7 linked regions of the Bombyx mori genome follow. The protein of the gene in region 3 binds, or shares a complex with, the protein of the main gene of each other region. Links are inferred from orthologs where the notes say so. Each region holds a gene or a part of one and is shown on either strand. Other genes may lie near its edges.

The links.
Region 1: mediator of RNA polymerase II transcription subunit 9 (region 3) and mediator of RNA polymerase II transcription subunit 8 share a complex: the UniProt entries of both Drosophila melanogaster proteins name them as parts of the mediator complex. The link is inferred for Bombyx mori from reciprocal best matches to the Drosophila melanogaster genes MED9 and MED8.
Region 2: mediator of RNA polymerase II transcription subunit 9 (region 3) and mediator of RNA polymerase II transcription subunit 16 share a complex: the UniProt entries of both Drosophila melanogaster proteins name them as parts of the mediator complex. The link is inferred for Bombyx mori from reciprocal best matches to the Drosophila melanogaster genes MED9 and MED16.
Region 4: mediator of RNA polymerase II transcription subunit 9 (region 3) and mediator of RNA polymerase II transcription subunit 23 share a complex: the UniProt entries of both Drosophila melanogaster proteins name them as parts of the mediator complex. The link is inferred for Bombyx mori from reciprocal best matches to the Drosophila melanogaster genes MED9 and MED23.
Region 5: mediator of RNA polymerase II transcription subunit 9 (region 3) and mediator of RNA polymerase II transcription subunit 4 share a complex: the UniProt entries of both Drosophila melanogaster proteins name them as parts of the mediator complex. The link is inferred for Bombyx mori from reciprocal best matches to the Drosophila melanogaster genes MED9 and MED4.
Region 6: mediator of RNA polymerase II transcription subunit 9 (region 3) and mediator of RNA polymerase II transcription subunit 21 share a complex: the UniProt entries of both Drosophila melanogaster proteins name them as parts of the mediator complex. The link is inferred for Bombyx mori from reciprocal best matches to the Drosophila melanogaster genes MED9 and MED21.
Region 7: mediator of RNA polymerase II transcription subunit 9 (region 3) and mediator of RNA polymerase II transcription subunit 19 share a complex: the UniProt entries of both Drosophila melanogaster proteins name them as parts of the mediator complex. The link is inferred for Bombyx mori from reciprocal best matches to the Drosophila melanogaster genes MED9 and MED19.

The regions. Positions count from the first base shown.
Region 1 is NC_085118.1:10,646,106-10,650,850, forward strand, and holds the start of mediator of RNA polymerase II transcription subunit 8, read right to left. Parts: upstream 2,952-4,745; 5' UTR 2,251-2,951; coding exon 2,077-2,250; intron 1,773-2,076; coding exon 1,527-1,772; intron 940-1,526; coding exon 843-939; intron 1-842. Other genes in the region: uncharacterized protein LOC134199859, read left to right, coding at 3,264-4,745. UniProt on the Drosophila melanogaster protein: Component of the Mediator complex, a coactivator involved in the regulated transcription of nearly all RNA polymerase II-dependent genes.
Region 2 is NC_085108.1:234,985-239,787, forward strand, and holds the start of mediator of RNA polymerase II transcription subunit 16, read left to right. Parts: upstream 1-1,726; 5' UTR 1,727-1,882; coding exon 1,883-1,944; intron 1,945-2,382; coding exon 2,383-2,560; intron 2,561-3,298; coding exon 3,299-3,431; intron 3,432-3,960; coding exon 3,961-4,090; intron 4,091-4,803. Other genes in the region: neogenin, read right to left, coding at 1,204-1,288. UniProt on the Drosophila melanogaster protein: Component of the Mediator complex, a coactivator involved in the regulated transcription of nearly all RNA polymerase II-dependent genes.
Region 3 is NC_085116.1:15,850,420-15,854,118, forward strand, and holds mediator of RNA polymerase II transcription subunit 9, read left to right. Parts: upstream 1-1,830; 5' UTR 1,831-2,107; coding exon 2,108-2,211; intron 2,212-2,294; coding exon 2,295-2,400; intron 2,401-2,590; coding exon 2,591-2,731; 3' UTR 2,732-3,094; downstream 3,095-3,699. Other genes in the region: ATP-dependent RNA helicase DHX8, read right to left, coding at 1-30. UniProt on the Drosophila melanogaster protein: Component of the Mediator complex, a coactivator involved in the regulated transcription of nearly all RNA polymerase II-dependent genes.
Region 4 is NC_085107.1:8,820,864-8,824,873, reverse strand, and holds part of mediator of RNA polymerase II transcription subunit 23, read left to right. Parts: coding exon 1-176; intron 177-585; coding exon 586-1,030; intron 1,031-1,302; coding exon 1,303-1,509; intron 1,510-1,904; coding exon 1,905-2,043; 3' UTR 2,044-4,010. UniProt on the Drosophila melanogaster protein: Component of the Mediator complex, a coactivator involved in the regulated transcription of nearly all RNA polymerase II-dependent genes.
Region 5 is NC_085112.1:8,189,449-8,194,111, forward strand, and holds mediator of RNA polymerase II transcription subunit 4, read right to left. Parts: upstream 2,935-4,663; 5' UTR 2,679-2,934; coding exon 2,611-2,678; intron 2,538-2,610; coding exon 2,357-2,537; intron 2,218-2,356; coding exon 2,066-2,217; intron 1,619-2,065; coding exon 1,440-1,618; intron 892-1,439; coding exon 716-891; 3' UTR 548-715; downstream 1-547. UniProt on the Drosophila melanogaster protein: Component of the Mediator complex, a coactivator involved in the regulated transcription of nearly all RNA polymerase II-dependent genes.
Region 6 is NC_085122.1:11,557,407-11,561,981, reverse strand, and holds mediator of RNA polymerase II transcription subunit 21, read left to right. Parts: upstream 1-1,460; 5' UTR 1,461-2,349; coding exon 2,350-2,391; intron 2,392-2,469; coding exon 2,470-2,748; intron 2,749-3,537; coding exon 3,538-3,663; 3' UTR 3,664-4,459; downstream 4,460-4,575. UniProt on the Drosophila melanogaster protein: Component of the Mediator complex, a coactivator involved in the regulated transcription of nearly all RNA polymerase II-dependent genes.
Region 7 is NC_085116.1:16,052,733-16,057,174, forward strand, and holds the start of mediator of RNA polymerase II transcription subunit 19, read right to left. Parts: upstream 3,202-4,442; 5' UTR 2,677-3,201; coding exon 2,496-2,676; intron 2,410-2,495; coding exon 2,038-2,409; intron 1,517-2,037; coding exon 1,356-1,516; 3' UTR 1-1,355. UniProt on the Drosophila melanogaster protein: Component of the Mediator complex, a coactivator involved in the regulated transcription of nearly all RNA polymerase II-dependent genes.

The sequences.
Region 1 (4,745 bases), on a different chromosome or scaffold from region 3:
GAATGTCTAAATACTATGCACAAAGGCGAGCTTAACTCATTCATGAGTTTTCTTCCAGCAAACCATTAGCAGAGAGAAATACAATGTATAAAGAGGGGAATAGTGTACAATACAAAATCTATTAAAGCATGATTTTTAAACTAAGCTTTAAAAAAAAACTAATATGAAATGAAAAATACATATAAACATACATAAAACAATAACTTAAATACACTTTTTTAAAGTGACAGGAAATGTTTCTTCATTTGACTCTTAGAAACTTCTAGAGAGGAACTAGCACAAATAGGTTGAGGGAGAGAATTCCATAATCGCACTGCTTGTATTGTGAAATTGCATTATCATCATACTTGTTTAAGTGGTGGGCAAAATCTTGGGCATCTCTGGTGGGCATCTTTCATCTTTGTCAAAGTAAAGTCATACCTACCTTATATGAACTAATAACTTAGGATATGTGTACAATGGTCAGAATAATCCCACCTGTCTTTTCTGTAGATATTCACCAATGACTGGGGTCTAGAACTGTGAGTAGCTGAGTGTATCCTGAGTCACTGACGTGTATAAGTATTTTTGTTATGAAGAAAACAGGCATGCCAGTTTGAATTATAAGATGCCTGCCTGCCATACAACTGAGACTTCGGGCATGTGTTTTGGGTCAGGTGAAATAAGATAAGCATGTGTGTCTAAATTTTATTGAAGACAAATTGTTTTTCACTACAGTGACCCGCATCTTTTTTCAACCTCTAGAAGTTAAAAATGGACTACATAATATGAATGAAATGTTTATTAAAATCTGTCAACTGTTTAGGTAATTATGATAATTTTCTATTGTAACTTTTACTAACCTGTAGATCTCATTGACTCTCCTTCCCAGTCTTCGCGGCCTTTGGATATAATTTCCCAAACGTGACTGACAACTTTAGTGAATTGAGCAATGTGTTTCTGGAATATAAAACTATTATAATCCATACATCATCCATCTATATAATTGTAGGTAACAACTACACAACATTACATGAGAAAGTGAGCTTGTTATAATTGCATGTCTTAAGTACTCAACTTGATTATCATGCTAATTTTGCAGACAAATCTTGATTATATAAAAGAACTTATTATACATAGTTTAATAGAATTCAATGATGATATGATTGCAATGATACTGAATGATGACCATGACCACCCTGACAAGTGATACAACAAAAAAAAGAAAGAATTGATACATACTTCAACCAAATATCTCAAAGCAAGAGGTTGATTTAACTCTGTGATATCTATGGGTCCCAGCCACTATATCTCAAGTGAGCTGTGGGTTTATTCACTCAACAGTGCATTACATGTTTTAACCCCAAATATATCTATTTTTTTACCGTTTACAATGAAAACTAATTTAGATTGCGAAGTCTACAAAGAATGTCATAAAAAATTAGCCCAAATAGTTATAATGGATATTTTTCCTTGTGGTACATTAAACCTTATGCTTCTTTAAATGTTTCTGATATTTAAAATTAAATGTTAATTATTGTCTATACCTGTGCTGTATCATAGCTTAAAGTACTAGCTTTATGATTAAATTGCTGGAGACGCTGTTCAGCCTGGGGTTCAGGTTTGGTACGAAGTAAATCTGGAACTAAATCATGAGTGCAAGCTGGAACTCTGCCTTCTGTCAAATGAGCCAGTGTTTCATCACGTTCGCAACTTAATTGAAGTGGTAAAACAATTCTAGACCGCAATGAAGCTGCTTGTTCGGCTTGGAGAATTTTACTGAGGCCAGTCAGCTGAAAATAAAGAGTTAATAAAATTTAACTAAATAACACATGATCTTTAAAGTGAAAAGCTTATGTACAAATGCACTTAAATCTGAAAACAAGTCTCAAAATGGGATAATACCTAATAAATATCAGTGACCACGCTAACCAGGTTACATCAAGTGAGTTTTGAACTCGTCAGTTTTTGTTTCACTGTTTTTTCAATAATAAATTAATTATCTTTCCTACTTCAAGTTGAAATCCATCTCTGTAGACTTGTTGACTATTACACACACTATTTATGCTATGAATTTCAATATACAATTGGACTTACGTGACCAGATAAAATCGCGTAATTATCTAGAAAAGTTGGCCAATTTATTGTCTCGTATTCCGTTTCTAGTTTATTTATCAATGCTTGTATTGCAGTTTTTAAATCATTTACTCTATTTAAAATCGCAACTATTGTAGCTTCTAGTTGCTTTTCTTCTCGCTGCTGCATATTCATTGTTGTAAATGGTAGGTACACAATTGTAACTTTTTAATTCTCTTTGTTAGATTTTAATAAGGTTTAGGTACCGTACCTTACCTAGCTATTAAATAACCGTAAGGGACTAAGGGTACATAAGTAATATATCTCAAAATGGTACCATACGGTACCTACCGTACCGTAAAATGGGGCGATTAGGGACAAATTCCAACTTTATGAGCAATTTTAAGGTAGTTGTTGATGTATATAATGCTAAATCAGGATCAAAATGATTGAGTCTTGGGGGCATCTTTGTTGTCTAATTTAAAATTATGCAACTAGCATTCCAGTTTAAGCAAAAAATGCAAAAATAGGTGTAATCCCTATTTACCCGAAAATTGCGGTTAATTGGGACGAAACGAGAAATTTGCTAGGGTTGGCACTACTTTTATTTTTATATATAGTTTTAATTTATTTATTTATTTAGTTGCACCAACAAAGTGATCATCAATAAAAAAAATTGAAAAACTGACAAAAGTACATGGCAGACATCACCTCAATTATAGGTGCAATCGACAGTGCTGATATTTCTATCTGGATTAAGAGATTAGGTGTGTCGGTTATTCCATGGATTAATCAGATGAATACCCCCACTCTGAACAAATATTAAATATGTAGCAAACCGACCGGTACGTCACTCTCGCGGCCGTATGCCCGCTCGCTATACATAGTTAGTATCTATGTCAATCTTGTAACAGTGTATAATCTATGTTCCGGGCGCTTCCGTTTTGAGTGTGAATAGCGTGCGCCCGCGTCTAAATGTAATTATTGTTTAAAAATTGAAAATTGTTTGTTATAAAGGAAGATTAAAATTCGAAATTCGATATTGGTGACTAACCCATAGTTTTAAATACCCCTGAGATCTACCCCTCACTATATCTGGCTGCCCAACGTTTCCTAATTTTTTTCTTGCTTGGACTAACAAAATGGCGCGCACGCTTTTGTGAAAAATTTGCTAACTATTGTATGCTGTTGGTGCTTAATTGTAAAGAATGCCTTTAACTAGAAGTCAAGATCGCCAGCAACGTCGCGAAGACGACGTTATTCCTGCTGCAGATGCAAATGCCAACGAAAATCACGAGGAGCATGATAGCCCCCATGATCGCCCCCACGCCGAATCACGTAGCAACAATTCTACGTTCAACTTGGATGATGTTTCAGCGTTGATGGCCTCGCTGCAACGTTCGCAGGCCGAAACATTTAAGAACATTATGTCGTACGTGATGGAACAAAGATCGTCGACTCCGGCACCTCCGCCGATGCCCCCAGTGAACGTAGATGGTACCTTGGCGCGTTGCAGAGCTTCTTTCAGCGGTGCACCTGGTGAATCTGTTGAGGCCTTTATAGATGCAATTGAAAGTTATACAGAATGCGTTCAAGTATCTGACGCTAACATCATACGAGGCCTAGCCATGCTTTTGTCTGCTGACGCAGCTACGTGGTGGCTAGGATTAAAGCATCACATCTCCACTTGGAACGAAGCCAAAGAAAATTTAATATATGCATATGGCACCCGCCTTCCACCACATAGAATATATTTGGAAATATTTGTTTCCCCGCAGGATAAAGAAAACACAGACAAGTTTGTTGCTCGTATTCGTGCGCTTATGGCAAAGCTACCGCGGGATGATATTGCTGAAAAAGTACAACTTGATATGATATACGGGTTGCTTCATAATAGAATACGCACAAGATTGCGCCGTGAAGAAATCACATCTTTCAATTCATTATTAAACCATGCTCGGAATATAGAAGATTCGATAGAGGAGACTCAATCGAGACCAGTGTCGTCCACTAGTGGTGTGCGTTCGATCCGTGCCCAGCCGGCCCAGGCTGCGAGTCGGCCTGAACCGTGCGCCGCTCGTGCGAGTGCCCCGGCGCCGCGCGCGCGCTTTCCAAACTCCGCCGCGGCCGTCGTGCCCGCCACCGCTGTGCCTGTCGCTGTCGCCCAGCCTACCGTTGCCACGCCTGCCGCTGCTGTGCCAGGTTCTGCAGAGCAATTCGTGACCACGAAGAAACAGCGTCCAGTGTGCTCCTACTGCAAACGGTTTGGACATGCACGGGAACAGTGCCGTAAGTTAAACAACCGAGGTGAGCAAAGTCAATCTAACTTTTCCGAGGGTGTGCAAAATGACAATAATGCGTTTTATAGTGTTCAGTGTAATGTTAATAATACTAACACAATTAGTTCTAATTTACCTGTTCAGAATGCAATGTATGATGTTAAGCAGCATGACAAAAATATTTTTCTGAGTAATTTTGAATGTCAAAATTTTTGTAACCGGGATGCAAATATTAATTATGCTACCATTAACAGAGGCCCTACTTCCAGAAAATCTTATTTTCATGCCTGTAATGATTCTGTGTCAAAGAATATTAACTGTAATTGCACTAGTAATAATGAGATGCCAACCTTTTGTTATTCTCATGTTTTATATAATCAGGATGTTCGGACAAAGTGTAAAAATTTAAAT
Region 2 (4,803 bases), on a different chromosome or scaffold from region 3:
CATTAAGTACATATATTTTCTACATGGATACCAAGCTTCAAGTCAATCGAATGCATGGTTCAGTAGTATAGATTAATAAGACAACTCCATTTAGCCAAGAAATGGCCAACTCTCTCAGTTGGCGGCCGACCCACAGCGGAGCCCTGACGACTACAATAAAATCACCAAAAGCCCGGTCGGTATTCACGCGAGCACGACCCGATACTAAATCCTGTTTACGAAGTGTTATTATTGAAAATTTCTTTGTGCAGCGGTTTAGAGCACGGAATATGGACACACTTTATTCCCGTGAGTTTTTGATTTTTATTACACGATGTTATTTCTTCACCGTGGTAGTCAATCGTGAACAATTGTGGAGTACGTATTTCATTAGAAAAATTGGTACCCGCCTGCGGGATTCGAACACCGGTGCATCTCTCGACACGAATGCACCGGACGGACGTCTTATCCTTTGGGCCACGACGACTTCAAGTCATTGCAATTTTAGTTGCATTAATTTATAAAATATGTACATATTTATAATTTTATCTCATAAGATCCCATATATCGCGATCACATATTGAAAGTTAATACTTTTTGTTTTTTCAGCCATTAATTGTCGAGTGTGTGTTACAATAGGTATCCCGTCCGTGTGTTGTTGGAATAGCCCCTTATACTACCAGCAAATAGGCAGGTAAAAGTTACAATTTAATAAAATATACGAGACGTTGGATAAGTATAATTATGTATGTAGTAATACTAGTACAAAATTATAAAGTTAAATCAGAAAAATCCAAAGGATCGAATAAAATTATCCAGAGAAAAAAACAGAATAATTAAAAATAACAAAACTTCACTTTTGACCGTAAAACAGAAAGTATTATTGAAGAAGACATATTTTCTATTAAAAGTTCATAACTTTAGTCCAAAAGTAATAAAATATATACCGCGCCCAAGCCGTACACATCCTCATAAATTTTATTAACAACCGCTCTAAAAGCGTCAGAGAGACATAAATACTTACTAAACTTAAATTAGGTAGATTTGCAAGATAGTAAATAAAACGCTTCAGAAACTAAATCCAAATGTAAATAATTTCCTTATTTTAAATGACTTATGCCAAAGTTCTCGAATATTTTAACTTGGCATGTGCAGGCAAGCTCACAGTTACTTGAAGACAATGGATCGATAATAAATGCCGTATTTTACATGAAAGGAGCCTACCTTGAACGTATGTAAACAAATGTAGCGACAGCCACAAGAATATCCAGTTTCTCACGCCGTAAGCTACGATCCCTGTCCGAAACATGGTTCAAACCAATAGAAGACCACTGCACTAGAGGTTTTAATTCATAACTATCACATTTTCACATAAAATCAAAAATATTTATGTTAAAGTTCACAGATAACGAATTCGGAGCGATACTACGCGATCCGCCATTTTCATGTCCACTTACGTTCGGAAACAATTCGATATTGAAAGGGCATTGCCCGGGACGAAACGGAGCGCCCTGAAGTTAGTACACTTCGTTGATTTCTGTCAAACGAGAAATGGAATTGGCAATGGAAATTCTGACATACAATATGAAATTCGAAATCGCTAGGAGACAAAACATTTAAAAAATAAATATAATCCGTGCCAACCAAAAATACGTATAATCCTTTTATCATTCGTTACATACAATTGGTACTTCCACAAATAAATATATAAATTCAGATCCAAGCAATAATAAAACGTTATTGTCATTTTGACACATTTTAAAAACTGACGTGATAGGTATCAACAAATAAAGTTTTTGCAATCTTATTAACTTCAAATTTCCAACCTGCTTTACATGCGTATTTTAATAAACATTAAACATTTCGTTCACAAATCGCTAACCGCAGTCCGCGGTAGTTTGTAATGGAGCTAATATACTCTATGAGACGCAAGCCACTTAAATGTGAACCTCCGCACTTCGAAAAGTAAATAGTTTAAATTTATATCAAAAGTTTATATTTCTATCCAAATTTACTAAAGTTTACAAATTCTTCTTCTTCTTGCTTCGGTTTCCTCAATACTGAGGGTCGTGACCATCTCCTCGCAACAAGAGTTTACAAATTAAGATATCTTTAACGGCAGTAACATCAACTTATTTTTTAAGTTACCGTTGTTCATGATGCCTTCCATCATAAGAAAACACTAAAAGGATAAAAATAACAAATTAAGGAGAAAAGTAATAGGAGACTGCTCAGCTCATGGATGTATATTATAAAAAGAGCTGACTTTAGAACTTATCACATCTACATAAAATTCAAGTATTTTAAAATAGTCCCATGCGTTCTGTGTTCTGTTTGTAAAACATTATTTCTGTTTCTTGGTGTTACATAAACTCAATGCTTAATAATGTTGTCTATTTCTAGTGTAAAAGACTCTGAAGTAGTCCGACCAATATGTACAATATCATGTGCAAATATCATAGCATTCTCATCACCGACAGAGCTTAGTGATGTGGACGGAGCAACATGGGGAGGTCATGTGTATGTATGTGACTTAGATACCCCATGGAACAGTCACAAAGTTACAAGTACAGCTTATCCTGTAAGTGTGAAATAGTAAAAGTATAATGAAACTATGTGATACAGATCAGTTATTCAAAAGTGGTATAATTTTACAACCAAATGAGCTCTTTATGTATTAACACTATTAATGAGTTTCCATATCAAATAGTAGACTAGAACCCTATGTGGCCAGGTTTTGTTCGCATAAGTGAACAGACCAGCTCACTCACCAAGAGTTAAACAATTACGGGAGATGATAAACAGTGTCAGATGATCGTCATTGCCTACCATCATTATGTTGGAGAAATATTCAGTGAGACTCTTTAAACCTTACACACATCTACATTAATGCTATCAAATGTCAATCTGTTCATATTATCAATATTTTAGGATCTACAGTAATTGATTTCACTGTGGTTATGATATGATTTACTCATGATTTACAGATATGATTTACTCATATTTGTAACTTCTTCATAACTTAGTATTTGTGATGATATATGCTTCTTACTTATAATTGATATCCACATCAACAATTTCAATTATTTAACAAAATGATCTAAAAACTAGTTTATAGCAGTGATTCTCAAACCCTGTGCTGCCAAAATTTTGAAGTTTGCTGTCAAATTTTATACTCAAATGATGACCATACTATTTTATACGGTCTATAGGTTCGGAAAAATACATTAAGCTATCTAAAAGTTTGTATGGAAATACTCTTACAACTTTGTTTCTTTATGCAACTATGTTCTAATAAAATAATGGATACAAATTCCAGGTGTCAGCTCTAGAGTGGGACCTGGAAGGCAAACAGTTGTTAGTAGCCACTACAGTGGGTGATGTGTCTGTCTATGGACAGAAAGACTTCCTCCTCAATGATTGGACATGTCTTTACAGTGCTAACTTCCCTGGTAAGATAAAAATTTAACTACCTAAGTACAAAACTAGTTATTTTAGTAAAATTGTTTATCTTAAAGCATTACGACTACTGCCACTTCTCTGATGTTGTCGTACACTAAATGCATTGCTATTTTAAAATCTTTAATGTAATTTTGAGTCAACTTTTTTAATTGATTTATGCATAGGGGTTGTTTGTGGTACCTAAGAACATATAAGATCAGATGGCTCTCTAAGTGCAAACTTAATTCAGCCCTTATTTAAACGCTTAGATAGTCAACATTTTCATATTCTGGTACCATCGCCCTGTCTGTTCTATCATGAGACATAATGTGGCTCCAATTGATGTTTGGGATAGCTGTCACTGCAACATGACTCTGGTCCCATGTCTCATGATGAGTGGTGGCTTTTAAAAATATTTCTTTGAATAGATCTTAATAAGTTATAAACATGTAATAAAGATTCTTTTCAAGGCCATATCAATAAAGATGTTTTCTTGTTTTTTATTTTTCATTTTTGTCAATAAATGACAAAATATTTCAGGAGAACACATAATCCAAGGGGCCTTTTTCCACAATGGACGTCGTGTGGTGGCCGTGGATAAAAAATCAGATGCGGTTATCCCTGAAAAAATACAAATGCTTCGGTTCTCTCCTACTCTCAAGGGATTCGGGTGAGTGTATCGGGAGCTTGTGCAATCTCTCAGTAGGTGCAAAACAGACTGCAGAGCTACTTATTGTTTCTGACAATTAATCTAATTATAAAGATAAAGAAACCTTTATTAACAATCTTAATGCATATTTAGGTACATACTATTAATGTAATTTGTCGTGATCGTGACATTTCTTCTTCCACGTAGAACCTGCAATGGCCTTTATGTTGTCTACCCACCTTTAGAACGGTAGTTCTTTTAACCAATCAGTTTCTAATTTAGCCCATTTTTTCTGTTTTGCTTCTTATTAGATTTATCCAATTATCCAAGACTAGCTTTTGACCGCGACATCGTCCGCGTGAAATAGTTCACAAATAATGGTTTATTTTAGAACAAATTTGGTTAGCATAAAAAACATTATGGTGAGCCAACCTTCACATATAGGCATATGCTGTCCCGGACTTTTTTTTAGGTCTTTTAAAGGGGAACAATTCTGTCATACATTATTTTAGCGAAACTTTAACTGTTTCCGCAGCGCACGCAGCGGAAGCTCTCAAAAGGGAAAAAAACCTCGATTTGGGAATATTCTTTATTGGTGCTTCGCTTGTATTGGTCTTAGCGTGATTTTATATAGCTTATATATAGCCTTCCTCGATAAATGGGCTATCTAACACTGAAATAATTTTTCAAATCGGACCAGTAGTTCCTGAGATTAGCGCGTTCAAACAAACAAA
Region 3 (3,699 bases):
AAGATGCTCTAATTTAGTGACTTCGTCCATTTTAAGTATTAGCTTCACTTTAAAACCATCAAATCTAACAAATTCTAACGTATGAACAAAGTCACACAAAACTCACATTTTTAGGCTATTTTGACTTTACTGTTTAACGAAGACTGTCACCTGTCAAAAACAAAGTGGTAGTTCCACTTTTCCAACTAAAAAGGCAAAAGTATCATACCATACAGCCTAATATGCTATTTTTTTTTTATGACAAAAAATAGTTATGACATGAAATGAAATGAAATTAATTCATTTGGAACATTAATAAATTGACCTAAAATTAAATGAAATGAGATGAGATGATATGGGATGAAATATAATTTCAGTAAAATTGTGGTTATTTACTGAAACTTTTTCAGTAAACTTTTTAGACGATCCCGAGAAGCAACGTCCAGCAGCTTTATTTCATTTTCCCACATTGGTGCACTTTCACAGATATTAAATTATTAATAAACCACCGTTATTGTTAAGTTACACATTTAATCCTGAATAAACACTAAATAGAAAAATAAAAAAATAAAAAAACTTCGTTCCTCGTATACCCTGTCAGAAACAAAATAACACACAGCAACACACTCTTAACTCATATTTTAATATACGTACGAACCATAGAAAATGATTCGGATAGAGCCTGCTACTGATGTTTCGAAGTGCCATTTGGCGTTCTTAAAATCTGATGCGATTTCAATACTAAAACGTATCACTACAGAGCTTCTTGATTTAGAAAGAATGGGGTATTTTATTACCGTAGCACCTCTGATTGATATATTTTTAATTAATTAAAATCACTAAGCACATATTATAATTAGTTGAGTAAAAACAATTACCTTCAGCGTGAATAAACTTAGTAGAATTTTAAAACTTTCGTAGAGTCGGGCCTAAAATTTATGCAGAATATAATGATAGGTAAGTAGTTTAAAAAATTTCTATTTTCTTAGTCGATTCCAAAATCTTGGCAGAAATAGGAGAAGATAACTTGTCTGAGTTGTGCTATTTTCTTAATCCAGTGTTTCTACAAGTTTAATAAATAGCAACGGTTTCGTATTCGTGAAAGTGGATAAGATTAAGAAAATGGAACCAAGTTGTTGAACTTGGTTTTTCAAGCGTTTCTAAAAAGTTAAGTGACGAGTAAACTCTCACTATTGTTCAGACTGATTAATTTATTTCGTCCCATAAAACACCGATGGTCATATAATTTCATTCAAATTCATTTTATTTCAAACATTTTTTTCATTTTATTTTACTTTTCTTTAACAGACATTACTACAGCCTTTGTAAAAAAAAGATGTGTGGTGTCGTGGGACACCGGATAGGAACGAAGTTCCTTATTATAAAAATATTAATTTCAAGTTCTATTCGAGGTCTAAAGAAAATAATTATTCAGGTATACATTTTTATTATTTTATTTTTTATTGATAAAAATATAATAATAATTACATTACAAAGTTATCAACTTTATTTTATTCACAATGATTTATAAAAAATTATAATAATAATATACAAAGAAACAGCTATTTATACGAATTATAATAATAACCGTCATCACGTAGACTATACATTAGACACTGTATAGCCATCGTACTAAGAATATACATAAAAAGAGAAAGGTATTATACACTACTCGCTTGTGTATATGACTGTCGCGCCTGCGCACGTCTTATTTAACGGTTTTATTCCACGGACTTTTTCTTACGGTTTTACTATCACATTTTTTTCAGTTCGGACGTGCAGCAAAATCCCTATCTCCTCCAAGCCTGCCGTAAAGAACTTCGTTCCAAAAATTTCGTGTATGAGCTTTATTTCCTTTGCTTGTCGAACACCGATCACACAAACATTCGACTTATTCTCCGCGATTTCGTCCATAGTCCATTGCTGTCCATAGATAACACAATAACACATCATTATTTTTGTCGTTTTCGGTTTTGTGATGGTAAAGAATCTACCTACTTTTTTACGTACCTAGGTTTATGTGTTTAATAACCATAATCTAATAAATTTATAAATTAATAAACAACGTACGTATAATAAAATCTGTTACATAATAAGCAAGTGAAAAATTGTGCTTAAAATTTGTACAATGGAAAACAACACAGATCATTCAGAACAGACGAACTACAGTCCCCTGACTGTTGAGGATGTAGATGTAGACTTTTTACCGATTGTATACGATATAATACGAAGGTATTTTGCGTATTATTTGAGACAAACTAGATTTGCTCAAGTTCATTTTGTATTTTCTGGTGCTTTAAATGTTTTTATTACAGCGTGGAGAGAGATTTTCACGACAACGCGTCGAAAATACGCGAGTCCCACGAGTGCAGTCATAGAGTTCTTGAATTACAAAAGAGGCTAGAAATAGCTAAAGCTCAGGTGAGATTACTTTCAAATACTGGAAACATACTTGGTATTTAACATTTGTAATGTAAAAATAATATGCTAAGTCAGCATAATTTTTGTATTTTGAGGAATCAAATTTATCATGAACTCATACACAAGTATCTGCCATAATATATCATCAACCAGTACACAATTATCTGCAATAATATATCACTCATTTCAGATCAGGAGGCTCCCAGGTATAGAATTCAACAAACACGACCAGCTGAAGCAATTTGAACTGCTCCGCACTCAGCTGAGATTAAAGCGTGAACTCTTACAGAAGTATCGGAATATGTGCTCATTTGAGACATCATTCAAGTGAAGATGCCTCTACGTGCGCTGCTTAAATACTTAGCCAATAATGAACGAATTGTACAGAAGATTGCAGAGTCCTACCCTGTACGAAGAGCAGCTCAGTTAGCTGTCTCAGTATTTTACAGAGGGAAGGAAAAGCTCTCTGATGTTGATCCACAGAAAGTTAATAAATTTATAGAGTTTTTAAAAAGGTTCAGTGCAAATTTGAAGGAAGGAGTACAGGATGCAAAAAAACAACTGAAAAAATAATAATAGTTCCTTGGATGTTTTTGGCTAACCATGGATTAGTTGCTGTTGATTGTAATTCACTATCAGTAGTGTCCTTTACATAATATAACTACTAAATTAGATAATAAAAAACTGTAACATAGTTAGAGCTATTTTTATTTCACTCACTCTGAACAAATCAATAAAAATATAAACTTTACTTAATTCTAAGAAAAAATCACAATATTGCAATGGTATTCATTGTAAATGTCAAAATATTGAAAATATATTTACTTTTAGAAAGCAGCTAGCTTCACTAATTTTATTGCGATTATAAGGTTTTCAGAGTTAAGGCAATGATGATTCAAAACTCTGATCTCATTAACTTTAATTTTTATTTTTAAGTGTTCAAATATTTTAAGTGACCCTAAAAGATTAAGCTTAGTGCTGTAAAAATATATACTTGAGTTTTAATTAGTGTTATAAGAACCTCGAGGTTATTAGTGATTTAACTTGCGAAAATATGCCGACCCATTGTGACAGGTGGATTAGCGGTATGGCTTGAGGCTGTCTAGATTAATCAGTGTCACTACGTCCCCAGAAAACGACAGGAGTTCTACCCTTGGTAGTAAAACTACTAAATTGTACTATGCAACAATCACTAGAAAAACCTTTAAGTTAGATAAAAAGATCAATATAGATTTTAGATTAATTTGAATAGTATGTGCCACTTTCCAGCCAGTCATTTTAGAGCAATAGTTTTGTATT
Region 4 (4,010 bases), on a different chromosome or scaffold from region 3:
GTTGCTAAAGCGTAAACTGGTGGGAGCAGTATTGGGAGCACTCAAAGATGTCCGTCCCGCCGGCTGGGCCGCCACTGAAACGCTGCAAAATTTTCTGGCCAACACGGAGTATGATAACACTACGTGGGTTCCAGATCTTAATTATTATCTGAGTTTAGTCAATAGAATGGTGGACAGTATCCTTTTCCATAAGACAACAAAACAAAAATATAGTAAAATACTATTTTAGTTGTTTCCTTAACCCTTTTACTGCCACAGTGGTCATCGGTTCCCTACGTGGTGCATTGAAGTAATTATGTCGATTACTGTTACTAAGTCCCCAGAATACCTAGTAGACTCTGGGTATCACGAATCCAAAGATACTGAGAGTTAATCTATTTCTAAAAGACTAAAACATACATTGAAAACAAAATAAGTCAAAGTTAGGCAATCCAGGCGCTTAGGAAATCGACATAATCACTGTAAACATATTGAACACTTAATCGCATATATACATATATCGCAAAATATTTTTTGTATTGCACATAGAGAACGACAATTTTTTTTTATCATGGTAAAATACTTAATTCCTTAATTTTATCTCAGCAATGATGGGTAATTCTCACTTTCCAAATACTGACTGGAGATTCAACGAATACCCAAATCCGTCAGCACACGCCCTGTACGTAACTTGTGTCGAGTTGATGTCATTACCAGTTGCGCCTAATTACGTGGGGAACAGTTTACTCGATGTGATCACAAAAGGTTTCGTCGTAATACCCACCACGAAATTACAGCTTTGGATCAACGCTATTGGCTTAATAATGGCGGCTTTGCCGGACCCGTATTGGACGGTTCTGCACGAACGTCTTTTGGAACTTACGACTAGCAGTGAGATGATCGAATGGACATATCCATATTCACCTTTCCAGCTGTTTAATTTAGCAACCACAAGTGACGCGATGCTTGAGAACAAATATAGTTTGACATTGGCTTGCGCGCATGCCATATGGTACCATGCCGGCGCAGGGCAAATTATGCAAGTGCCTATGTGAGTATTTAATGTATTAAATTTGTGAATTGTTTGCATGTTTCAAGTATAATTTTGGAAGGCTTAAAGCGACGCTGGGAAGATCTTCCATCGAGCGGATGATATTGCTCGGTAAATCGACGGTCCGTATGTTTTTGTTTGGAAATTGTATATGTGGAAACTTATCTTGAAAATGACGTGAGCTAGATTCAGGCATCTGTCAAATATCTTGATGTTGTTGTTGTAGTTGTATGATGACTACCCGCCAAAATAATGAATAATTATTCTTTCAGTTTCGTAAAAGAGAAGCTGGCTGTTGAAATACACACGGAAACACAAATGCTCTTCTTGTGCCACATGGTGGGACCGTTCTTACAGAGATTTAATTCCGATCTACCGCGGACAGTGATGGACATAACTATAACTTTGTATGAACTACTCGCTCACATCGATAAGTCACAGACGCATCTTCAATATATGGATCCGATTTGCGACTTGCTGTATCCTTTACAAAAAATCACTCATCAATTGCCAATTATTTAATTAACGAAACGAATTAAATAATTTAACACGACATGCGTGTTGATATTTTTTTTATTTTTTTATTTATTGCTTAGATGGCTGGACGAGATCACAGCCCATCTATTGTTAAGTAGTTACTGGAGCCCATAGACATCTACAACGTAAATGCGCCACCCACCTTGAGATATAAGTTCTAATGTCTCAAGTATAGTTACAACGGCTGTCCCGCCCTTCAAACCGAAACGCATTACTGCTTCACGGCAGAAACAGGCGGGGTGGTGGTACCTACCCGCGGGGACTCACAAGAGGTCCTACCGCCAGTAACTAATATTTTTTGTGGTTAACTCGTCTTATTTCCTCAACACCTTTCTAGATATCATATAAAATATATGTTCGTCGGCGACACATTGAAGAACGAAGTGGAAAACGTAATCCGTAAACTGCGACCGGCGCTGCAGATGCGTCTGCGCTTCATCACGCACTTGAATGTTGAACAAATTAACACCGCCTAGCATAAGGAGTATAATAGCCCTCCGTCGAGTGCTAGTTCGAGTTCCGAATGACACCAGCCTGACAGTGTTTATGTCACTGTTATTCTACGAAAGAGAAACGACGGGGGTTATCAAAAAATTTTCGTATGCCACGGGGAACAAATTAATTAAATCGAAAATTTTAAATAAATAGTTCAAGTGTTTAATATTTGAAGTGCTAGAAAATAAAATTATAAGAGGAATAATATTATTAAATTTTCTTAGGATATAAAAAATATGTTTGATTGTACGTATTTTATTCGCTTGCGCATCTTTTAATCTGAAGATAGATAGAGTTATTGTTAGCAATTCAAGGAAAGTTTTTGTCATCATCGACATTCGACAGATGGCACTTAAGTAGTTTTAATGAAAGATTATTTTCATACAACAGTATTGAGTCGCATCGAAGCGTGATCGGGTTTCACTTGTATAATACCAAAAATAATGTTTGTATGCTTGTTCGCTCGTGATCTATGTGTTAGCGCTTTTATAAGATTGATGATTTTATAAGATTTGAAACTTTATATACTTGTTCTTACTGCATGGAAAGTTTTCTCAGTGTGTGTCAGTGTACGATAGTTAAGGCAGGTATACCCTAAGAAATGCGTGTTTTCCATATATTTATGCTCGGCAGGGTTTCACTAGTTCAAAATAAGAAGATATTCAACATTTAGAACGGTATGATAATATCAAAATAAAATGTGAAATGATTAGGTAGTTCTAGTTTGTAGGTACCTATTTTGTAATTTTTCTGCTAAGAATTAGGACGTACTTTTACTTTTACAAAGTTTACTGATACAGTTTTATGTACAGGGCCTAAAGTTTGAATTTTGTGTACAATTTTATAATGTTTAATCTGGTCTATTACCTGTAATAGGCCAAGTAATTGTCTGAATTTATTATGTGGTGTATGTATGTGTATCGTTTGTCAATACGAATAGTTTTCTGATCATGTAGGTATGTGTAGAATAGCTAAATTCAATTATTTATTTTATTGTATAAATAGCACTACAGAAGGTATTCTTAGCCAAATATGGCTCGGTTTCTGACGAATGAATTGACTTTATGATTAAATAATTCAATTATTATAGTATTTAGTATTGTGACAGGGCTATTATTGTATATATAAATGTAATATCTGTATAAAGGACTATACATTTTTTGTAGAATGACTAAAACTGTTATACTGTAAGTCGAGCAAAATACATGCCTAGTTTTAAATGATCGAAATAAAAAAATACTCTGTTATTCTATTAATGAATTATTCTGTAAGTAATATGTGTAAAATGATATTTAGTTATAAGCATTCAGTAGAAAAAAATGCGAAAGAAAAGAATAAGCAGTGAAAAGTAAGAAAAATTCCCGGCTCATTTTAATTTATATTTTTTTTATGCATATAAGATTTATGGACATGGATAAATAATACTGTATTTTGCAATAAATTTTAATCACAATTAACATAATTATTTCTGTAAGCGAAAGTCATAATAGCTAAGTAAATGTCTATTATGAATTTGCTAAAGGAAATAAAAATAAAGCCAAATAAACGAGGCAATATTTAAAAGAGAACATTGAGCGCATTATGTTAATAAGAAAAAAATGTGTTACACACCGTGAAAGTAATAGTTATTAAACATTGTGATATTCTTTAAGTTATGATCATGATATAACATCAGTCACTCTTGACCATCTAAGTACTCGCAACGAACACTATAATCTCCTATAATACATATGTTAGAAATAATGAAAAAAGTCTATGATGTTTTTAGTGGTAGATTTTGTTGTAATAGGAATGGATAAATGTATATATATGTTCATGTTTCATTTTAATAGTCTAAATTCAGTTCAGACTAGTCTGTCAGTTGTGCAATACTTTACGATGGGAACTTTTAGTAGCTATTAAACAACAGCTGCTCTTTAATAGATTGCTCCAGAAGGCCGGTAATGTG
Region 5 (4,663 bases), on a different chromosome or scaffold from region 3:
ACGGCTGCCCCACCTTTCAAACCGAAACGCATTACTGCTTCACGGCAGAAATACGCAGGGTGGTGGTACCTACCCGCGCGGACTCACAAGAGGACCTTCCACCAGTAATAAAATAAATGTTAAAGTACTAAATCCTAGGGGCAATAGTATCCGGACTAAGTTGTCTTAAAGCTCCAAACACTTATACAACTCCTATGAGTAGTATTAGTTGTAATATATTCCGGTGCTATCGGGCCTCGTGATCGTTGATATATTTTACCTACCCATTCGTTGGTAGCCTAAGGGGCTATTCCAGGAACGCGCGGACGTGTATGAGTTCACTGGCTCCACCTGAGAGAGTTTGCCAACACTGGCCCTGGCAAGAGCAATGTTTCGTTAAAACCTACAGGATCAGAATCGCAACCCACTGAGAAGAACTGACGAGAAACTGTTTGGGTTATGTCAACAGGCTAGTTCGCACTTCCAACTCTTAATCGCAGAGTTCGCGTGCATAGATATCGAAAAATAAATTTGGAGGTTAAATTTTTGTTCAAATATAACAAAACGATTATGTGGAATAAATTTTTTTATTATGTCATTTCTATGAGGATATTTAAATAACATTTGAATTAATTCTACAAATATTTTTTTCATAATAAACACAAGCATCAGTCTTTTTAACTTGTTGAGTTGCACTACACTTTTAATCAAAATGAAGTCCACGGTTTTTCTGTATTCATTGTGAATCACTACTTGAACTTGAACTGGAGTCTGTGGACATAACTTCAACATCTTCTTGGTTGGGAGCATCCTTCCCTCGGCCATCAATAGCTACAGAGTTACCGCCTCCAACAGACATGTGTAGCTCGCCTGATGGATGCCAAGTGAATTGGCTTGAAGCTGAAGCTGGTACTGAAATAATATAACACAGTAAACCTGATTAACAAGCAAATGGTTTTACATGTTTTTTTTACCTAATGCAATTAACAAAAGGGTAAAATGTTTCTGTAAAATTCTGATGATAAGAATATTCTTAAATAATTTCCATGGGTTATGGGTTTTGAAGGAAGCCTCTGTTGACAATATTAATAAAAAGAGGTGGCAATAACATAGGAGATTTTTTTTATTCTTTACAAATCCTATAGAAATTTGATCATTAATTCAACTTTCCTGAAAAATATTATTCTTGTATATTTGAGTTTAATACAGTGGTCCAAAACATGATATATCTGCCAAAGCACTTGCTGAGTAGTTTAGGTGTTTGGTGTTCCCTATCACCCACTTCTCTCATAGCTATTAATAACTATGATAATACATGCTTATTGTAGATGAATCAAATTAACTATAACGATAAAGTACCAATACTAGAATTGTATAAATATGTACTGCACAAAGAGTTCTATACATATGCAACTTGTTCTAAGAATGATTCATTAATATAATGAGTAATGCATTTATACCTCCACCAGTTGTTATACGATGAAGTTCATTCAGTGTAGAAGGCGTGTGACCATTCAATGGCAGATCACAGAGGCGACCGAGCATTCCTAATCTCATTTCTAAATCAGTTGGATAAGGCCGACGAGGATCACCAGGTTGCCACGACAAAGGTGCGCTGACAGCATTAGATGCACTTATTCTGTAAAATATCAGTAAGTCAAAAAAAGTTTTTTTAAGTACTATTTAGTTCTCACATCAAAAATAGTGTACTGTCTAATATTTAAAAATTCTTTTTAATGTAATTTAATTAAAGTGTAACTCTATAGTTATGAAAGAAACTGTTTTCTGTAGATAGTTATTTTCATAACATTGTTGGCTATTCAGACACAATACCTAATATCCATTCAGACTTTTTGCATTAATAAACTTAATCAACTGTTAATATACTAAACATCTCATTGATTTATTTGTTAGTCAATGTGCCTACTATCATTGTCTCACTGTTGTCATTGGTCAGGTTTGAAATCTCTGTTGAGATCATAAATATTTAATATTCAATATTTAGGAGTACTCATCATGTGTTTTAAGGACCTGACTCAGAAAAAATATTTAATTTCAATGTAGAAATCTTTAATTGTTTACTAACCTGTGTGCAAATTTGATCAACTCCTCAGAGGGTACAGGTCTCTTTCTAGACTTCACTATTGATGCAAGTTTCTGTCGAGCTTGATACAGTGATGTAGCCAGAATTTGTTCTGCATCTTTCAATTGTCTTTGAAGGTGATATATATCTTGATCCTTAGTAACACAACAAAAACATTTCAATTACATAATTCGCTTGTGGCTTAAATTGTTGTGAACTAGCAGTGGATGAGTCAGTCCACTCCAAAATTTTATCCATTTTTTACTTAAAATAAATCTCTTTTGTAGTATTTACCTTACTATCTACTTCAGCTTTGAGTTCATTCATTTTCTGTTGGATCTTTGCTTGTTCGTCAGCTAGGTCTAATGTTTTTTTCAATTCTCCATGTTTTGATAGAAGTAGGTCCGTCAACTGAGCATGATCTGCAGCGGACACTTTCTGTGGTTTTGGTGCTATGGAAACTTCTATTATTTCCCTGAAAATTTAAAGAATTAGAACATGAAGTTGATCGGTAATGTTTTCCACAGTTCAATCGTGTTTTAACTCACTTAGCAATAAGTTCGATATCATCTATTAGTGCCAATAAGCGATCTTTAGTACTTAAATGTGACGCCATAGCTCTATATAGCTTAACAGCTTTTTTTAATATAAACGATATGTATTATTTCCTTATATCATATGAACTGGACAAACGACCCCCCAACGCTGCGACTCTTGGGATTTCTTGTATCAAAAACGCTACTATGTACGTGGTAACTACATTCAATGTTTACAGTAAAAATAATAACATTGTTTGATGTTTCCAATACAGCAGACGACAAACGTGAAAGTCATAGACTATGTTCCACAGCAAGCACAGACTAATAATTAGTAGAGCCTTGAAATATTTTTCTCTATGATATAGAGAAACTTATTCTCGTACTTTTACAGTTTTTCTAGTTTTAAAGTGAGTTTCAGTATAATTTATATCTACAAACTTTGTTTTATAAGGCCGTAGCCTATTTACGTTATAAGAAATAAAATAAAATTTACTACTGGTAACGAGATGAGATGATTTACTTTTTCTTATGAAGATGGGTGAATGACCTCAAGGCCTATTAGTAGTTACCGGAGCTTAAAGACATCACAAAGTGATTGCTGCCCCCAACTTTAACTTCACTTTTCTATTTTACACTATAAAGTGTGTTCCACCCTTTAAATCAGAATGCATGATTACTTGGCGGCAGAAATACACAGTACGCTGGTACCTACCCATGTAGAGTATTGTAGAGTCTAGTTATTATGATATGATCTCTCAGTAAAATCGTGTTTATTTCCTGAGACGTTAATTGAAAGACTCCGAAAAACCACATGTAGCGATTTCGTTTCATTTTTCTACCCGTTGTGCACTTTCATGAATTTGAACATCGTTTGGTCATCATTCATCGTTCTCGTTGAACCCATCGCTTGCGACGAAGGCTCGGCTAGTAAAATAACCCACAAATAAAGCCCACTGAATTTCTCGCCGGATCTTTTCAGTGGGTCGCGTTTCCGATCCCGTGGTAGATTCTGCAAAGTATTGCTCTTGCTAGGGTTAGTGTTAGCAACGTCGTCAGGTTAGATCCCCGTGAGCTCACCTACTTAATAAGTTACACTGACATAGCTCTCAAGCTTAGATAAAAAAAAACCATTTCACAGGTTCAGAATATTTGTCAGAAGAAATACAATATTGGTGTAATAAAAATATTCTCAAAATAAAGGACATCTGATTCCATCAAAATTATTGAAACACTGCACAAAAAAAATTATTCTATTAATTATTAGACTTGCGAATACTGAAAAAGGATTGAAAGATTGTGATATTGATTGTTATGGTTTATTTATAATTCGTAATTATTGGCGGTATAGCGTAGGTTGTAGATACGTATCTACGACCAAGCTTCCTATTATTGCCACCTACCAGTTATTCGTTTCGGTATAAAGGGCAAGATAATAGACAAAACAGTTGAGACTTCGAATCCTTAATTCAATCAAAATGGATGGTTACTTACACGCTGTGATGCTCATATTATATCTTCCGATAATCAGTCAATACGGAGTTAAAGAATGGTGTTGTTAGGATGTCTTGTGAGTCCGCACGGGTAGGTACCACCATCCTGCCTATTGCTACCGTGAAGCAGTAATGCGCTTCGGTTTGAAGGGTGTGGCTGACGTTATACTGTTAAAACTGAGACCTTCAAACTCATGTCTCAAGGTGGGTGGTGGCATTTACGTTGTACATATCTATAGACTCCGGTAACCACTTAACACCGAGTGGGGCGTAAAGCTCGTCCAACCATCTAAGCAATAAAAAAAATATGTTAGATTGCATTTCACGAACTTGCAATAGGAGAACTTACAATGCAAAAGCAGACTTGCCTTGCACTCTCTCGAGATCATAAATTTCGGGCTTCAGTTGATTTATTGCTAGAGCTCCGTACAAAAAAATTTGCTAAAATTCATAAAAATAGATTCTCATTTTTAGTGCTATTGTGTTAGGAATTACTATCAATAACACCTGTCTTTATTTTCCCAACCGGTTCCAATACTCCTTACTTAATAAAGTTATTAATTATCCTTTAC
Region 6 (4,575 bases), on a different chromosome or scaffold from region 3:
CAATACTTAGCATGATTGTTTGCACTTGATTCTAAATGAAAAGTTAAGCTTTGTGATGCTCTCTAACAAAACTAATTGTGAATTGTTAAAACTATTTCATTGTGTGATTTTTTAAAAGTTTTAGTAAATAGTCATTACTTGTTGCTATGTTTATAACTATATTTATGCATAAAATTTGATAATAAATTGAGAATAGATCTATAATTTTAAGGTATTTGATAATAATTTTGGTACTATAGTGTGAAGCTTTGAAGTTTTCAAACAATTTATCTAAATTGTTTTAAAACATTTTTAATAACAATCACGAGGTTTTGTGTGTGTGTGTTTTTTTTTCTGTGCACAATTTAAAACCTCTGTCTTTGTAAATGTGGCCGCAAACGGGGGTTGCTAGCTGATAAAGATGGAAACCTAGATCCAAAGTAGAGTGAGAGAGTTAATGCGTAACATCGTTTGTCAGACAAGGATGGCGGTAGACAAACTTACCCTATTTAAAAATTAAAAACTAATGCGCATGCGTCGAGTGCTAGTTTATTCAACCAACTGCGCTCACTTTCTTACTTTACAAACGATAATTTAGTTAGGTACTCAAAAAAAAGTGGGAATTTTTATTTGCTATATTATTATGCTAATGAATTATATTCATATTGCTGTTATTAGTAAAGTTTTGTACTTAATTTATAAAAAAATTAGATGCTATGTTGGGTATGTACATACAGTACTCAAAAATCTAATTTAGCAATTTTCATTGTTGACTTCTAAGCAATTTAAATTCGATAACGGCGGATTTCTATCATAAAAATGTGATACCGCAAATGCTTAGTTATTTTTAAAGAGTGCAGGTTAGGCTGAAAGCTATCTAGTCTTTTATTGTTAATTCGTACGAGAATAGCGCGAAAGCGGTGATGGAAGTTTTTTTTCCTACCTATTCGGTAGCCTACACACACTGCGACGCAACTTCTTGATGAATTTTAGTTGTTACAAAAATGACGCGAGGATTTGATATTTACTTATTGCGCGACAGGAGGTGTTTGTTGATTGTAAAAAAAATGGCTTACACGAAACGAAAAGAAAAACGGAAAACTTTTACAAATTAGTAAAGTTCTGCCAATTTTACTATAGCACAGCTGCCTTAGATTGAATTAGACTAATAGTTGTAGTAGTCATTAAACAATAACATGTTTGAACACACAACCTCGTTATATCCGTAATGTGAATCCAGCTTATTGTTAATGTTGTTTCATTGAATAACTAAAATTTAAAAATAATCGTTTAAGGTCTGAAATGAAAGAGGTTCATTAATGGTTTTTTATTATACTTAAATACTCAATAATTGTGATGTTTTTCTAGTCGGTAATATTATGGTTACCTATTGTGTACACTGCTTACATTAAATAAAGGAAATTTTGAAATTCATTTCATTGCCTATAATTAAAGTTTTTTAATTTTTTTTATATGTAGATGGGTGGAAGAGCTCATAGTCCACCTGGTGTTAAGTGATACCGGAGCCCATAGATATCTATAACGTAAATACCGTCACCCACCTTGAGATATGAGTTCTAAGGTATACTTACAACGGCTGCCCCACCCTTCAAACCGAAACGTCAAGTGGTCCTGTTATTAGCAACATTACTATTTAGCTTATAATGTATATAACGGAGAAATGGTTTTCTAAATTTTAATACTGATGAGAATGATTGCAGTTCTAAATGTATTTTTTTATTGCCCTTGTAGGCAGACGAGCATACGGCCCACCTGATGGTAAGTGGTTACCATCGCCCATGGACTTCAGCAATGCCAGGGACAGCCAAGTCGCTGCCTACCGTTAAGTACTTTCCGCAAGCCTCGTTTGAAGAAGAATACGTCATAGCGCTCGGAAAACACCGTGGAGCGGAGCTCATTCCAAAGCCGTATGGTACGTGGCAAAAAAGATCTCTGGCTTAAAATGGCGTTACTATTCCAAATTAGGTACTGTTTTGCTGCACGCCAAAGTTAAACGATCGTAATATAATTGTTTCCTTACAGAACTTCAAGTTATTTGGATTTTAGATTAATGTCTCAAATGAATCAACTTTATTTCATTTCGCTCCATATGATCATTTTTCATGAAAGAGAATAGAATGTACATACAAAAGACTAGGATGTATGGTGTGTGATATCTTCGCCTTTCCACCTGGAAATATTGGAAATATTACTTAAAAACGTCATAACGTTCAACTTCAAATAACTTCATTCAAAAGGTAGTTTTACAAATTGATACTGTAGGTAGCTTAAAACCACCTTCCATAGAAAATATCCATATAAGGATTAAATTTTAACAGTGGTTAGTAGGATAAATATCTGAATTGAATAATGGCTGATCGCTTAACTCAGCTTCAAGATACCATAAACCAAGTACGTATGACAAAAATGAACATTTCGTTTTAATTGACATTAATACATTTCACATACGTTGTATTTATTTATTTGTAGCAAGCTGAGAATTTTTGTAACAGCATCGGAATTCTACAGCAGTTCTCGTTGCCTAGCAAGTTCCCAGGCTTCGAACGCGGTGGTTCTCAGACTCCTCAACAACCGCAGAGTCAAGAGGATTATGCGGTTTTATTCGCGGCTCTAATTTCTCGTTGTGCTAAGGACATTGACACGCTCATCGAGTCTTTGCCCAGTGAAGAGAGTTCAACTGAGCTGCAAGTGCAAAGCCTTCGGCGACTTGAGGCCGAGAACAAGGAGGCTGCTGAGCAACTTGAAGAGGTAAGGGCTGTCAACTCTCCGTGCCCAATACACGTGCAATTTATCTCAAAGGACACTAGCTTTCTTTTTTATCATAAATTGGGAATTATCATGTAACTAAACCATTAAAATAATGATTTTAAAGAAGTAATTATGCCATGCAGTTTGCTTTTGTATTGCCATTTGAATGTAAAATCAAATATTCCAAGAAAGTATTTGTATTACAGACATTGTATTTTGTCTATAGTCAACTTTTGTAATGTAAACAAGCACCAATATTTAAACATAAATTAGTACCTACTTAAGATAAAATTGACAGTAATAGCGATTTGGTTAAAGTTGTTTCCTTAACTTCATTTTGAGATGGCACACTGGAATTGTATCAGCGAATATTACTTTATTCAATTTTCAAAACCCATAGGGTGTTTACAGATTAATCTCATGTTTTAGATTGCCATGACTACAAAAACTTATAGTATTTGAAATATTGGAAGTAATCATATCGACGCTTGAAAGGCAAACGTGACTAAGCGACAATGCGTGAACTTCACAGTAGACTAATTTCAAGATGAAATACCTGAAAAAATTCTATTTTAACGAAACTAGCTGTAGGATTGAAATGATTTTAATAGACCTAGAAATATATTTTTTTTGGCATTGAATATGGTTATTGCCTATCATGTATAAAGCAGTTATTGTCGCTTAGTCACGTTTGCCTTTCAAGCGTCGATATGAAAATAATTACACATGACTTACTCTCTTTTCATTAGCGTTAATAATAATGTCAGACAATATTTAATAATTCTACAGGTAGTCCGTCAAGGAGAGATTCTTCTAGAGAAGATTCAGGGTGCTCTGAGTGATATTGCTCAGTGCCAGTTGGACATGCAGAATCCGGCTCTGATCCTCAACAAGGATGTGAAACCACAGTTATAGGGATGGGGTCTGGGGTTCTACCAACGGTAGTTTCCTCTACAAAAGGATACGTTAAAACAAGAATACACGGAAGTATTTTAGTATTATATGAATTTTAAAATTTTGTGTTTGAAATCTTAATGCTTAATGACGAAGATTTTTTTTTGTTGTTTGCAAATTTGTTACAGGGCTTTCATGCCGGTGAAAACTAAATTGTCTGAATGTCATATTTTTGAAACTATAATAAGAAAAACATTGGTATGACATATATCATTTTAAGTAATCATTTGTTATAATTGAATAGTTAAGTATACATGACTTGTTTATTCATTATTTTCTATTATTACGTAAGGCATACTTTAAGTCTGAAAGGGTAGGTACCGCCACTCTGCCTATACATACTGTAAAGCCGTTGTTTTCCAGTTTTGAAGCACAGGTTAGTTGTTGATGATGATTTTGAGATGAGTGGCGGCAATGACTGGGATCTCTGGGCTATGTTAATCTCTTAATATTAGATGAACTCGTTCATCTATATACATAAAATAAAATGAACACAAGGAAAAAGTAAAGGTGATTGTATTCAATGATGAACATGAGTTTTAATTAAATTAAAAAATATTTATGTTTTATGTTTAATTAATTTAATTAAGTTATTATGTTTAATTAAAGGTTTAATTTTTCTTTTTGTTGTACGCCCTGTATATGCTGGAATGGACTCGAATCTAAATATTAATATACTTTAGAGATTGGAAATAGAAAACTATAATCTTGAAATGAAAAAAAATCTATATGATTGAAAATAAATGTTGATAGCTAAGAGTGTTTTATTAAATCAAATGTTTTATTTGTATAAATTTCAATACTGATTCAATGGTAAAGAATAGTTTAATTTAGTAGAAGTAGTGTTCCTTCAGGTTTATATATGTATTAATG
Region 7 (4,442 bases), about 200 kb from region 3:
TCTGCAATATTTTTTCGTCTGCAGCTACCTACACAGGTGTGTTTTATTGTATTCTAAATAATAATAAAAAAAAACATTAAATTTAGCTTAACTTGGTAAACAGAACGATTTTCTTATAACAAATTCTTAAATATTAATTAAATACATTACTTTGAGTCGAGCCCAAAGAGATGGAAGAGACCTCATGGAATTCAACAGTAACAATATTTTTGTTTTAATGTCACTCTGTGGGCAATTCGCTCAGAAATTTAATTCTTAATTAGTAATATTTTTTAATAAATTCCTAATGTTTGCATTAGAAACATTTGAGAATGATGTGATTATTCTTTCAAAGTGGTCAACTTAACACAATGTTGCTTGCCATCATGGCATTTTAACTCTATTAGGTAACTTAGCATAACAAAATCTTATTAAATCTACCATGCAATCGAACCTGTTGAAAGCCAAGTAGAAGTTACTAGAAATCTTAAGTTCAGAATCAAAAGTAATTACTATGAAGTAAAGATAATAAATTAGCTATAAGTTTAAAACATTGCCTGACTAGCAATTTTAGGTATTTCATAAAAACAAAAGTCTTGCAAACCTCATTTTTCTTATTATGGTTTAAAATGTGATAAAAAACTTCGTTTTTTCTTCATTTTATGGACATATACACCCCATTGAATAATGAAGAAATATAGATTCAGATAAATCTACTCTTTTTTTTATTTTATTGCTTAGATGGGTGGATGTAACATAAATGCAATGGTCTCAAGTATAGTTACAACAGCTGCCCCATTCTTCAAACCGAAACTTATTACTTCGGCAGAAATAGGCGGGCTGGTAGTAGCTACTCATGCGGACTCACAAGAGGTCCTACCACCAGTAATGACGCAAATTATAATTTTGCAGGTTTGACTTTTATTACAATGTTATTCCTTCACTGTGGATGTCAATCGTGAACATTTGTCAAGTATGTATTTCATTAAAAGAATTGGTACTTGCCTGGGATTCGAACACCAGTGCATCGCTTAACACGAATGCACCAGACGTCTTATCCTTTAGGCCACAACCAATTGTATGTTATTCTTCTTGTGTTATTATACCATTCAACCAATTGAGGAAAACTTTCCACTTTAATGAAATGTTAACAACATTCCATCGTATTACAATCAACTTATGATAGATAGCACGTGTAGTTTCAACAAATGAGTGCCGTTCATACATTTAGTCATATGCACAACAAAGTGTAGAGGTACATTTCACTAGTAATGGAATATCACTAGAACACAATGAATTACTAATTTTTAGTCATCTTTAGTACAATACTCTCTTTGGGCTCATTATTCGACTTAAACCTACTTGTACACTTATATTTACGGTAATGGATGTTGGTTTGGTGTAAGGCCTCCATGCTCAGGGCTGTGTTTTTGCTTTTTTCTCTTTTTCTCTTTTTTTCTCTTCTTTCGTTCTTTCTCATCGTCATGACGTTTTTGCTTCTTATGCTTTTTCTCATATGTGTCTGGATTTGATGAATCTAGAATAATAGATATGTTTTATATTAAAACTCAAGACAAAAATGGAGTATAAATAATATAACTTATAAAGCAATTTAAAAAGTATCACTTGACATCTAAAGTTAAATGAAATCATTGTGGCCTAAAGAATAAGACGCCTGGTGCATTCATATTGAGTGATGCGACTGTGTTAGTGTTGGAATCCCGCAGATAAGTACCATTTTTCCTTATGAAATATGTACTTGACAAATGTTCACAATTGACTTCCACAGTGAAGGACAGTGTTGTAAACAGACTCACTAAAAATAATTGATAGGGTGTCTTCTGAGCCCGCACGGGTTAGTACCACAAAATGTAAAATGCAGAGTACAATTACACTGCAATTCAAATACTGTCTTAACTAGATTAATGTAGTCAAAGTGCCTGGAAGACTCACCTAGACCTAAATAGCATCTACAGGTGGCTAATTTGTAATATTGTCTACAAGCTTGGGACATAGCTAAATCTATTAAATCAATGTTGTTGAGTTCTGAGTTCTTACCTTGTAAAGGTGTCTCTTGCCCAGGAGGTGCACCATCTTTATGCTTATGTTTCTTATGTTTGCTTTTATGTCGCTTTGGTGGTGTTGCACTCACATATCTGTACTGCTCAGGAAGTGGGCCAGGGTGTAATCGAAAACCTGCCAACTGAGCACTAGTTAATGGCAGTAATTCTTTACCACCAATTGGTCTCTTAGCTATAACTGAACTTAGAGTACTGTTATCGTCCTGCCCAGGTCCGTCAACGATGCCCGGCAGGTTCGGAAGGAAAGATGATAGGGATTCCTTCAGCTTTTTGCCATTAAACTTACTGTAAGAATGTACAAGTCCATAGTAGGCCATTAAATTTGTAGCGCCTGTCAGTTCACATTCTCCTGTAAAAGAAATCGTCGAAGTCACTTCCTGAATATAATTATTTAAGAATTTGAGAAGAGAATGTTAAAGAGTTGGAGATACTGACCCGGGGGTTCTTTCATCAAATAGAATGGTCCGCTGTGCACTATAGACGGGTTTTTGCCTAAGGATATAGTAGTTTTGAGTGTACCAGAAGAATCTTGGCGAGAGACGACTGGTGACCTCGCACCCCTCGGCGACGATTTTGGCGAATATGGTTCTACTTTCCTAAACTGATCAGACATCATCTTGGATGACCATTATCTACGAAACGAACTTAAATAAATTAAATACTCTAAACAAAATCACAAAAAATTAAAAAGACCTTCCCTACTCCCAAGCTTTTGACAACTCTAAAAAATAAAAGTAGGAACAATGTTGCAACACTTTTTTTTTAAGGGAACTGAGACCTTTAAGTCATGTCTTATTTTAATTTATATTCAATTTTTATGAAAAATAATATTATGGAGTGAAATAATGAAGACGACTAATTTGAGATATTAATCAACGGGATGAAATTAAATGAAATGAAATGGGATGAAATATAATCTCAGTAAAATGGTGGTCATTTACTAAGATTTTTTCAGTGGACTTTTTGGAGGATCCCGAGAAGTTACGTCCAGCGGCTTTGTTTCATTTTTCCACATTTGCGCACTTTCACAGATATTAAACACTTAATAAACCACCATTATTACACATTTAAACCCGAAGAAACACTAAATAGACAAAATAAAACAAATCACACAACTTCACTCCTCACGTTCCCGCCAAAAAGTCCTGTTGCAACACTAGCTTTGTAACTCCCACAGACTCTAATATTGTTATTTAAAGAAAATCATAACAATAGGTACATGGTTTTGTTGGTTCTCAAGAAATTTATATTTAAATTAAATACTAGCAATTCTCAAATTAAAATAGCAACTGTCTAATTAAAATAGACTTGTTTTGAATTAGTTGAAATAGTCTATTATAGTTCTGACACATAAGCACTTGGAGCTTCCGTGATAATTTTGTATGGAAAATGAATTGTGATGTCTATGAGCTTTGAAAACACTTTAAAACTGGTCCAATGGTGTTGGAGTTTGAATATGTAAGTAATGGCAGGTAACACTTGACACATGTAAGGTTACAGTTTTCGAATATTGAAATGCTTATTTAAATATTTAAAACAGATGAGTCTTCTCTTGAGTGAGGACAATGGCTTCTCTTCTAGACACGGACTATGCAACATCTTAGGGTTTTATAAAATAAAATATTGTAATGGTGTTATATATTAACCATGAAGCAGAGTGTTTTTAAATAGCCCCTCACCTACAGAACCCAGTCCTCTCAAATTTAACCGTCCAACAAAAGGTCTCGGTAACAGGTCATACAATCTTTAAAAAATCCACTAAACAAGAAAGCATGAGCTCATTCAAACTTTGAAGCAGTAAAAAAATCAAACATTCTTATTGAAACAAATGCTTAGGCTTTTTTTTTTGTTTAAGTCGTCCTGGCTTAAACTATAAGACGTCCGTAGGCTTAGTGCGAGTTTCAAAAATCGAATCGAATGACTCGCATCGAGTGTACGCTCTTCACGGTGAAACGTGCGGAGCTCTGAGTGCGAGTTACTTGATTTGCAGGACGTTTATTCATTTTGAAAAGCGATATTTTTTTCTTTTATATTGGTAGCACGCAAGGTTTTTTTTAAGGCGTTTAATTGAAATGCCAAGCTTTCTAACGATATTTATAATTAGTCGGGTAATGGGTAATGTACCTGTGCTTAGTGCAAGTTTTTTTAATTACTCAGTCGATGTTAATGTTATGTTTATTTTGTGTGAGGTTGTATCAGTGCCACCTAGTGGTAAGCTTATGAATCTCATTTTGTGGGAGAGAGAAGGTTTGTTTATGTTGCTGTCTCATGTATCAAATAGCTTTACCGAAGTGAGCCTCTCGATTATTGTATGTGCGAGTGCGAGTTGCAAATTAATGGATTTTGAGAGTATTTCTTCACTTTCAAGCAAGTTAAGTAGTC